Drosophila melanogaster: one gene and its partner. The protein of the gene in region 2 interacts with the protein of the main gene of each other region in a pairwise test. Each region holds a gene or a part of one and is shown on either strand. Other genes may lie near its edges.

The links.
Region 1: the proteins of CG16758 (region 2) and CG12289 interact in a two-hybrid assay, tested with the Drosophila melanogaster proteins (one large-scale study listed by BioGRID).

The regions. Positions count from the first base shown.
Region 1 is NT_037436.4:11,456,534-11,460,354, forward strand, and holds CG12289 (uncharacterized protein), read right to left. Parts: upstream 1,938-3,821; 5' UTR 1,760-1,937; coding exon 623-1,759; 3' UTR 543-622; downstream 1-542. Other genes in the region: CG7551 (uncharacterized protein), read left to right, coding at 2,027-2,995.
Region 2 is NT_037436.4:2,498,713-2,505,392, forward strand, and holds CG16758 (uncharacterized protein), read right to left. Parts: upstream 4,895-6,680; 5' UTR 4,562-4,894; coding exon 4,431-4,561; intron 4,104-4,430; exon of another isoform or gene 4,012-4,103; coding exon 3,883-4,011; exon of another isoform or gene 3,786-3,882; coding exon of another isoform or gene 3,679-3,785; intron 2,430-3,678; coding exon 2,358-2,429; intron 1,751-2,357; coding exon 979-1,750; intron 912-978; coding exon 825-911; 3' UTR 660-824; downstream 1-659.

The DNA of each region.
Region 1 (3,821 bases), 9.0 Mb from region 2:
ATGACCGAGAAGACCCCCGTTCTCCGCCATTCACAACATTTGTCCAAACGCCCAACGTCTACATAAATGTATATCTATTAGCATTTATCTTGGTCTCGGACCCGGACAAGTTTCGCCTGACTCAAGAATTAATCATGTGGCAATTATGCTGTGGCAACAGTTCTTCCACAGCATCCATTTGCACACACACATACACTATGAGGCTCCTTTGGCCATTTCCTCTAAGGGCTATCTGCGACATCGTCGAATTGCCACCCAGTGGGAAACTCAACTAAATCATTGTGTCAGAAATTATGCCATGCCTTTACAGCCCGCTTATTTATGTATCTAAATAAAGTAGCATGGATTAAATCAGGTATGCCAACACTACGTCCTAAAATCGATCCATACTTTTTGGATAAACGATCAACTAAATGTTCTCATAGCGTTGAAAAATGAAATGAAATAAATGCTCAACTAAATGTTCTCATAGCGTTGAAAAATGAAATTTAGTGGAAAAAAGTGCAAGTGTAGAAACTAATTAATTTCAAAGCTAACTCTTTGTTAGGTGATACACTTAGATTTATAAACCATACATTAAATGTTTTAAATTTGCAGAATATTTCAGATGGTCAGTGCTTTTCTAGCTAGAAAGTTGCGAAGTCTCGATCGGAACTTCCTTCTCAGTGGGTGCAATGGAGGACTTTTCCGGCAGGAACTCAATCGGGCGTAACAGGTGCTTCTTGCAGCTATTCAACTGATCGCCGTTATCCTCATCGTCGGAGGACACCTCACTGCCACACCTCATTCTAACGGGCAGCTTAACCGCATCGATTGGCAAATGACCCAGGCAATCGAAACCCACATAGCCCAACTTATAGCTGGCCACAGCATTGGCGAAGTCCACGGCTTCGGCCAATCGCCTTTGCCGCACAAAAGCGGCATAAATGAAGCCCGCCGTGAAGCAATCACTATCGCCCACCCGATCGATGATCTTTTTCGGCTTGTGTGCTGGCACTTCGAAGTACTCCCCTTCCGTGGTCATACATCCTGCTCCCAGGCTGCTCCACGGCACAATGATGCAGGGTCTGCGAATTCTAATGTTCCTTGGCATGCGCAGTAGCGCATTGACACCCTCGCAGGCTTCCAGCGGTGACTTCCAGCCTCTGGACTCGGCTATATACTTGGTGACGAACACATAGTCGCACATGGCAATCAGATGCACGACCTGTTCGAAGGAATTGAAAATCTGCAACGATACCACTATCCGATCCCGTTCATCCCGCCCGTTGTTGTGATCGAGGATTAGGCGTATCATATCGCAAGTTTCACGTGGACTCCGTGCCTCAAAATTCACCCAGCCGTATTGATCGAGATCCAATTTGCGGAAATCCGCTGCCGTAACATATGGAAATGACTTGTCGCAATACACCACCGTGCAACGACGCGTCCAGCGATCTTGGACAATTGTGGAAAAGGGAGGACTTGCGTCCGTGAATGTACAATGGCTAATATCAATGCCCCGCTGCTCGAGATCATCCAGAATCATGCGATAGGTGGGATTACGGGTGAGCACACCGAACAACTCCACATTGGCGCCCAACAGACGCAGGGCCGTACTAACATTCGAGGATCTTCCGCTGCGCTGAAGCATTCCATTCTGGGTGCTGCACCTGTCGCACTGGAAGTCGACCTTATCCATGGTGGTCACGTAGTCCACCTCCGTGCAGCCGACGCAGAGCACGGCCTTCATTACACTGATAGCACACCATTGCGTCATCCTGGCGATTGTCTAAAGCTCTGATTTCGTATCCAGATCCTCCTCTACTTCTTTCTTCGATTCTCTGCCCTTAATTTAAATCGATCATAATTTGTTTTTTTGATTTTGAATAACTCTTGACAAATGATTGAATCGTTAGGTATGGACTTGTAGATCTCTATTATGGAGTGGAAAGCATTTTTAATCCAAATTTCTATATCATATCAGCCACGTACTTTTTGGAAAACTGATTTTAAAAAATTTTAAATTTTAAAAGCAATATTCAATATGACTCAATATGGCCACAAACTGAGCTGGGCTGTTGGCAAAAAGACGGTGTTGTGCATCGGCACAACGACCATTGACTTTGTCTCGACCATAAAACGTTTTCCCGAGGAGAACTCACATCAGAAGGTCATTGGAGGATACTGGATTCGCGGTGGCAAGGCCTCGAACAACTGTACTGTTTTGGCCAATCTGGGCGTCAAAGTGGAGTTCCTAGGAATGCTGAGCAGTTGGAGTGTGTTTCAAGTTCTGGTCGATGACTTGAAGAGTCGTGGCATCATTATCGACAACTGTCCAACCTGTGACCAGGGTGCACCCTTCTCATCCGTGATACTCACCAAGGCGACTAAGACGCGGAACATTGTCTATTGCAATAATAACTTCCCGTACGTTAGCATTGATGATTTCCGAAAGCTGAACCTTAACCAATATGGATGGATTCACATTCGGGCACTATACTTTGATAAGTCATTGCCGATGGTCAAGGACATAGAGGCATATAATGCGAACAGAAAGGAGAAGATCGTACTATCGATGGAGTTCGATAACAACCTGGATGACATGTGGCCTCTGATGGATTACTGTGACTATGCCGTATTCTCTAAGAAGTTGGCCCAACCGAATGGTTGGGTTTCTCTGGAGGATGCCTGCATGCAGCTGGACGAGCGATTGCGAATGCGTTGGGGCCTTAATCTCAAGCGACCATATGTGGTCGTCCTTTGGGGCGATCAGGGTGCCGGCATCTTGGATCTCAATGGTAACTTCACCCACGTCAAGCCGCACAAGCCCAAACGCATCGTGGACGCCTTGGGAGCAGGAGACACCTTCGTGGGCGCTTTCATCTACGCCCTCTATATCCGGGAAAGATCCGTTTCAGTTGCCGTGGACTTTGGCAATCGCATGGCCAGCTACAAGTGCACGAAAAATGGGTACGATCATATCGCTAACATTTTACTGCCTCCGATCTTATAATTGGGTCGAAATTGAATTTCTCATTTCGAAAATTTTTCAGAAAACAGATCAAAAGAATGAGGCTGTAGTTAAAATAAAAATCTCCTCTTGGACTTCGACTTCATCTTATTTAATACTTTAATCACAGCCACCATTCAATGGAATGGAATTACTGGAAAAAAATGGCACAAAGAAACTATCGCATGCTTTTCACCCTTTTTAAACCGAGCATTTATTACGTATCCGCACCGTTGGTAGATAATACAATAATTACCCTTGCAGACGCTCGGCCAAAAGTGTATCGACCATAAATTATGGGATAAACACACTTTCGTGCTACCGCCTTTTAACCGGAATTTCCAAATTGATTGCAAAACGAACCTGCAATGTCATTTATTTTTTCCTCGCCGAAAAGGGTTCAAAAGTTTTTCATTCACATATACGTATACCTTTTGTTGTTTACCCTTGGTCACTTGAATTATGGCCAGATTATTTAAATAAATAGGAGTCGTTCGTTCACGAAATGGAACAGCAGGTGACCAAACTGTCTCTGTTTCGAGCCGATAAATAAATAAATAGAAATAATGGATTGCGTACAGATTATGCAAATGTCGGCCAAGGCAAATTCTTAATTAGAGATTTACCGAGTCCAATTCAAATCAAAATCAATAAGCCCCTTGATTTTTGAACTTTGCTGCCGCGCAAAAAATGGCTGTTCCAAAAAAAAAAAAAAAATTCATAAATATTGAAATGAAAATCCTCGCACCACAGCAAGGGAAAAAGTCAAATCGAATTATGTATAAATTTCTATGTACAATCCCGTGATTTAAGGAGCCGAGTGGTCAAA
Region 2 (6,680 bases):
TATAAGCACTTTTTGTAGGCGGCGATGCTTTTGCAACGGACACAGACACAGATCTGAACTATCGTATTCTATAGGCCTATTTAGTATATCATATACACACGTGCGCATATCCCTATGTACTCTCTATTTTACACATATTACATAGCCTTTATATATGTAACGACTACTATGCAAGTGCACGATGCCAGGCAATAAATTTCAACTCGCTTCATTCGGTAGCTGTGCGGAGTTTGGAGTTCTTCTATTATATCGTATACCTGTACATAATATTAAGTTGAGTTGTTTTACCATTATTTTATTTAATATTTTATCGATTTAACGAAATTGCATTTGTTCAATCTCTGCAAACACCAAAAAGCCAACGAGCTCTCTCGTTATGTCATTGTTTTCAATTCGAAATCATTTTAATGTTAGCTTTATTTCCCTAATTTTATAACTATGTATTTGTGTTTATAATATGTTAAAAATTATTGCGCATATTTAATTTTTATTAAATAACATTTCATTATATTTTAACTTTCCGTTGGGTTTTTTTTTATTTGGGTGACCAGGGGAATGATCACCTTGAACTGTTCTGGAATTTCTGTTCGCCGCGCAAAAGTATGCAATCAAATCGTAGACTTTTTTAAAAGTTTACCCAACAACAAACAAAATGTGCTGAAATTGTGATATAGCTAGTTTATTTTACATAATTTAGTTAAACTATTCCCTAGGCCTATACTGTAAGATTTTGGACAATCCGTGTCATGTGAGTCTTAGATGCGAGCTCAGAGAATTAACTATTTTTAAATTTAGAATCCAACGCTACTTCTTCGCTTCGCTACTTAAGCGGATGCCAAGTGGATTTCCCGGATGAGTCGGGAGACCAGTTCGCAGCAGGCCTTTTGCCTGTTCTTGGCCACAGCCATAACCTAGATGGTGATAAACATGAAAGTTAGTGGCTTAATTTAATCAACTAGTAGGACTCTAGGAACTCACCTCATCGTGGTTGGCCTCATCGTCCTTCTTATCGCTGTACTCGGTGGCGCACTTATTTGTGATGAGGCTGAAGGCGAATACCTTCATGTCGCAGTGCCGTGCAGTGATGACCTCATGTACGGTGGACATGCCCACCGCATCCACGCCCATCATGCGCAGGGCCTTCAGCTCGGCGATGGTCTCGTAGTTGGGACCACCCAGACAGGAGTATACGCCGACGTGAATGTTGGACTCTATGCCCATGGCCTTGGCGATCTCGATGGCCTTGTTGATTAGGTCCTTGTTGTACGAGTTCACCAGGGCGGGAAAGCGGGGTCCGAAGCGTGGGTCATTGGGTCCCTGGAGCGGAGAATTTCCGGCAAAGCCCAGCATGTTGACATGGTCATGCATCAGCATGATGTCGCCCACCGCGAACCGTGGATTGATTCCACCAGCCGCATTGGTGGCGAACAGGTATTCCACACCGCACAGCTTCATCACGCGAACCGGCATTGAGCACTTGGCCAGCGGATAGCCCTCGTAGAAGTGGAACCTGCCCTGCATCGCCATCACAGTGGCGCCCTCGAGTGTGCCGACCACCAGTCGTCCGGCATGGCCCTCAACTGTAGATACCGGGAAGTTGGGGATCTTCTCATACTCGAAGATCTTCGGGTCCTGGATCATATCGGCCAATGAGCCTAGCCCAGAGCCGCAGATGATGCCGATCTTGGGGCGCATGCCGGACCCCTTGGTAATGAAGTCGGCGATCTCCTCGATGACCTCATAGGGATACCTGTCGAAAACCAAAATTAGTTTTACATCTTGTTTGGGTGAGTATTGCAGGGTGATCTTTGAACTAATAAAAGTGTAAACAATATACGAGTGAACTGCGATAAATTTGGGTGGGTACATGTTAACAGGCCAGAGATCCTTTTTATCTACTCGCCACGATGGTAAACAATGAAATGAAGAATGGAATTCCCAGAGGGAACAAAAAAGATACATTTACCAATTGATGAAGTTCCACACACAGGAATATAATTAGATTCAATTCACCAATCGAAGTTTTATCAAAACAAATAATTCATTTATGTACAATCAGTTCGATGATATGATAAGAAAACAACACAAATATTATACAGTGAGAACTCAGAAGACTAAAAACTTTAGAGATCATGGACACATGAATTCATTATCGAATTACATAGATATTCTTAAAAAGGACAAAAACAAAAATCGAATTTATGGATAAGAATATCTTTGAAGAACTGAAAGTGTCTTCTTGAAGATTCTTATCAGCCTTATGCCAATCACAGTACTGTGAATACATGTATTTTAATAATAAAGTAAATGACAATTGAACACAGAGAAACAGAACTCAGAAGAATTGGTCTACAAACGTGTCTTCGTTGAGAACCCGAAGGGCTCTTAGCTCTTCGTGCGTAAGCTCGCATTGGATTTTTCCATTTCCGCTGCAATTGTGGAAAAGATTTGTTGCTGAGTAGGTTGGCAAAGGTTTGTGATAAACGGATATGAAGGCATCCAGATAAGGACCCCCTATCATTTATGGTTTTTCTTGGCAATCAAAAGAATGTGGTAACATTGTCATGACTCGCTTGCTATTATCGAGTAACTTGAAAACAGCAATTAAGTGCTATTAGAGCCATAAAGAATTCACCTGGTTCTGGGTTAAATTGCTCGAACTTGAACTGCAAGTCGAGTTATGTTAAGATGTTGTTACCAAAACTGAACTCACGACCTCCCACGTGTTTGTTTTCGGATCAGTTCAAATGATTTGATAAGCCGGGCATGAGACGATGCTAAGCATTATCAGTATTACATGGAAAAAACAAAAGCTGGCCTTCGAACAGTAAACATAAAGTGCGTCATTAAGACGGGAACATATAATCACGCATAACTTGCACTAATTGGGAACTTTATTCACAATTCCTTAATAAATTGGTCTTTCAGTAGCCAGACATTTATGGAAATTTGATCTAAACACGCGACGCGGCTTTTTCGCCGCTTCATCAATATTCAGCATTGTGATTCCATCGGAATGGAAACTAGTTTCGAAATTAATCAATGCGGCAACATGTTTTAGTTGCGTTCTTTATCGAACCATTGGCCAATTACCCGTATCTGAGGCAAAGATTACGAAGTGGAGGCCTATGTCAAGATCAGGGAACACACCCGTTTTGCGCAGCCAATCAGCGGGAGCCGATTTCCCAGTTAACTTGGCCATTAAACACTTACATAAGCAGTTGGCAATCTTGGCTTTTTTATCAGCAAAATGTTTGGTACACAGAGAAAATATAAATAATTAAAACAAGGCACTCTGAAGAGCGCCCAGCTGCTTAAAACGTGCTCTAAAAATATTAACTCTAAAATAATGAGGAAATTAGTTAATTAAAAAAATATTTCCTGAACACTTGACTCTTTCGAATACATATACGTTTTCTACTGTGTATTTCTACCTAGGCGAAACCACTCCATATAATCATATGCAGATTAAAGATTCTTCGAATGGGATTTTAATGAGTAGCCAGCGTCGACTGACGAAAATTGATAAGCCTGGAATACTGGAATGTCTATATTCAAATTCAAGAGATCTAAGTTGAGCTCGTTTCTTGATAGCGGCGGAAAGATCAAGGACACGATCCAGCTCCGTCACTTGAATTTTGATTTAGATTGCCCGAAGTAAACAAAGTTTGGACTTACAGCAGACTTTCTGGAGTTGGTATGATATCTGGCCAATTTGTATTATTGATGGCGGTTTTGGTGCCAGCCTTGCCTTTGGGATTCGAACAGCAATTGGCGTTACACATTTTGGGGCCGAGGGATATAGTTTTTGGGTATCGAACGAACGAACGAACCAGACTGACAGCTAAGGATAGGCCTAATTGGACACCAAAATCAACTTACAGCAGGCTCTGTGGAGTGGGTATGATCTTCTCGCCAGTGAGACTGCCGGCCTTGGCGCCCTTCTTGTCCGAGCAAGTGTTGCCTCGATTGGAGCCACCTGGTCCGGAGCAACAGTCGCGGGAGCACATTCTGCGGGTTAGTTGGAGGTCTTAGCCCTTACAACTACGTACTAGGCAGCGAATTTTGGATGGAGTCTGTGCCTGAATTTGGTTTCCTGTAGGCCGAAGCGAGTTTCCTAAATGACTGATTCAGTCATAGAGTGAGGCTACTGGCAGGGCCTACTGGATAGCCAAGGCCATATCGATTTGGCCCCTTGAAAAGCGGGTCACAAAAGCTTTAGCATGGAAGGAAGGGAGAGGGGCGTGCAGAAGGACAGGTGGTGCAGTGCAGTGGGGTTAAGGCGAAGCCGCGAAGCATTGAAGCCAGAACTATTGGAAGTTTCAATTAAAGCTGATTGTAGTTAACGAGCCGCTGGCGTGAGGGCCTCCGATATAATACCCCCTTTTTATGTCGGCTCGAACTTCGAACCAACAACTCTCCCCACTTACGTGGGATTCTCCTGGGCGGTGTAGTCCGCCGACTTGTGTCCATTGCTGTGTCCATTGGTTCCATTTGTTCCCTTCGTGTTTCCATTTCCATTGCTGTGTCCATTGCCATTGGCCACCTTGTAACCCGTCATTGTGCAGCTGAAGTTGGAGATGCTCTTGCTCAATCGAAATACACTGCAATTATATAATCGCCTCGGACGCGCTTCTTCTGGTTATGCAAATGTGAATTTCGCGCTTCAAGTTATGATAAAATCAACTGTGCACGTTTTCTATTTCGCGAATCAAAACTAATTTAGAAATCTGGAACTGGAATTCCTTTTGTAATCTCGTTACGTTTCACAAATGATATTTTATGACCGCGTCCAGAACTCGATGATATGGTATGCACATATATGTGGTATGGTACTATGTGCACTTTCTTCACGTTTGTTGCCTGCTCGACCGCTGATTGTAAAGTGAACGCTGCCGTCTGGTGGACGAGGGTTTATAAACTGGAGCTCCGGCGCAGTCGACGTCGTACTGCTTCAGGAAAAGATTCTGTTTCTGACTTTGATTCGGCTTCGGATTTGGGTTCGGAATCGAAATCGGAATCTCGGGGATGCAGAGCGACGCTCTGTCGAGCCTCTGCCGGCGCTGGTTGTTCAGCATTCAATTTGAAATCGTTTAGCGCGAATATTGCCGGAATCGTTGCTCCTAACTAATTGAATTGAGCAAATTTAAATATTTAAAAGAAAGTGTGTGACGGAGAAGGAAAACAACTCTTTTAGTTACACATTCGATAAGAAACGTGAGAGAGGACCATAAATGATTTCGCAAAAGTGTTTACGATAAGATTTTTATGGACTTCTGATATGATATGGTATAGCTCTTTGAGAAACACCTGGGAAGCACAAGTGAATTAAGTCAACTTTATAGAGAAATATTGTCATTTGTCAATTGTTTTAAGAAACACAATATTCGCCAAGCAAAATAATCTGTGAATCTATTTTTAAATCATTTTCAAAAACATGCCACTTGCCGAGAATTTTCTATAATTCGTACACTAACCTCTGACTTGGCTTATCAGTTGGCTAGTCGGAAAGTTTTACCAGGTCATCAGACACCTTGGGATCAACACGATTTGGTCTGTTGTAATATGGAATCGCTTTTGAATCACCCAGCAACCCATTCATCACTGCGATAAGGGATTTGCCAAGCAGATCCCAGTCGCACCCGTAAGTACTTAACCTAATAATGAGATCTTTAGCAAAACAATAAGCCTGAAAAAAGTGTGAAAATAAAATCAACACTGATAAGGATGCAACATGAAAGAGCTTATCACTTCATGGGGGGGCACATATTTGTCGTGTGCGCTTAGTCGCAGTGACTTTGATGGCAATAGCATAGTATTATTCCTGTAAACAACTTTGATAGCATTACGCAAAAGTGCAATCAGCATCAGATGCACATGGAAATGCACAATATTATTTGAATACCCAGACAGTTAAAAAATTACAGCTTACAGTTTATCAAGGAAAATGCTATTACTCTTACTAGACACTTGCTGTTTTCGAGTAATAATCAATTTCGGAATCGAAAAAATAGTACATATATATGTTTCTAAGTTCTCTGTTCGTAAAAGTATTTTTCAATTTCACTTATCAACCGTAGGCAGAAATTTAATCAAAACAAGATTCCGTGAGAACTATATTTAAATGGAAACAAAGCCGAGGTTTGAATACTCTGAATAATCATATTTTATCCAACCAAAATCGAAACATTAGTTAGAGACCATAAAAACTGACCTCTGCGCAAGATGCAGGCAACCCAAGTCAGTGGAAAATTCCCAGATGATAAGAAAAAACCCCACGAATGTTTAAAAATGTTCCATTCATGTTTCCGTGGAAGATTCGAGACTCAGTCTCCGAATTTTGTATCTGTTGGTGGCCTCTTCCCATGAAGCATGTATGTACATATCTTCCTATGTTCGATTTTCGACTGACTTTCCCATTTTCCCAGCTTGTGCAGTACAACAAACCCATTAAGATGTTGTTTTTAAAACAGGATTACAGATAAGAGATTGTCAGGCGAGTAAACAAGAAATTCATTTCATATTTAGGTTTATTTCAGAGTATATTTATTAGCACTGATTTTGAGATTTATTATTTTCCATGATTTGAAAGATTTGGTTGCGATTTTTACTTTTCAATTTACTTGTTTAGCTAATTGCAGTGCTGTCATCAATAATAATTGGCTAGTCGCATTAATTGC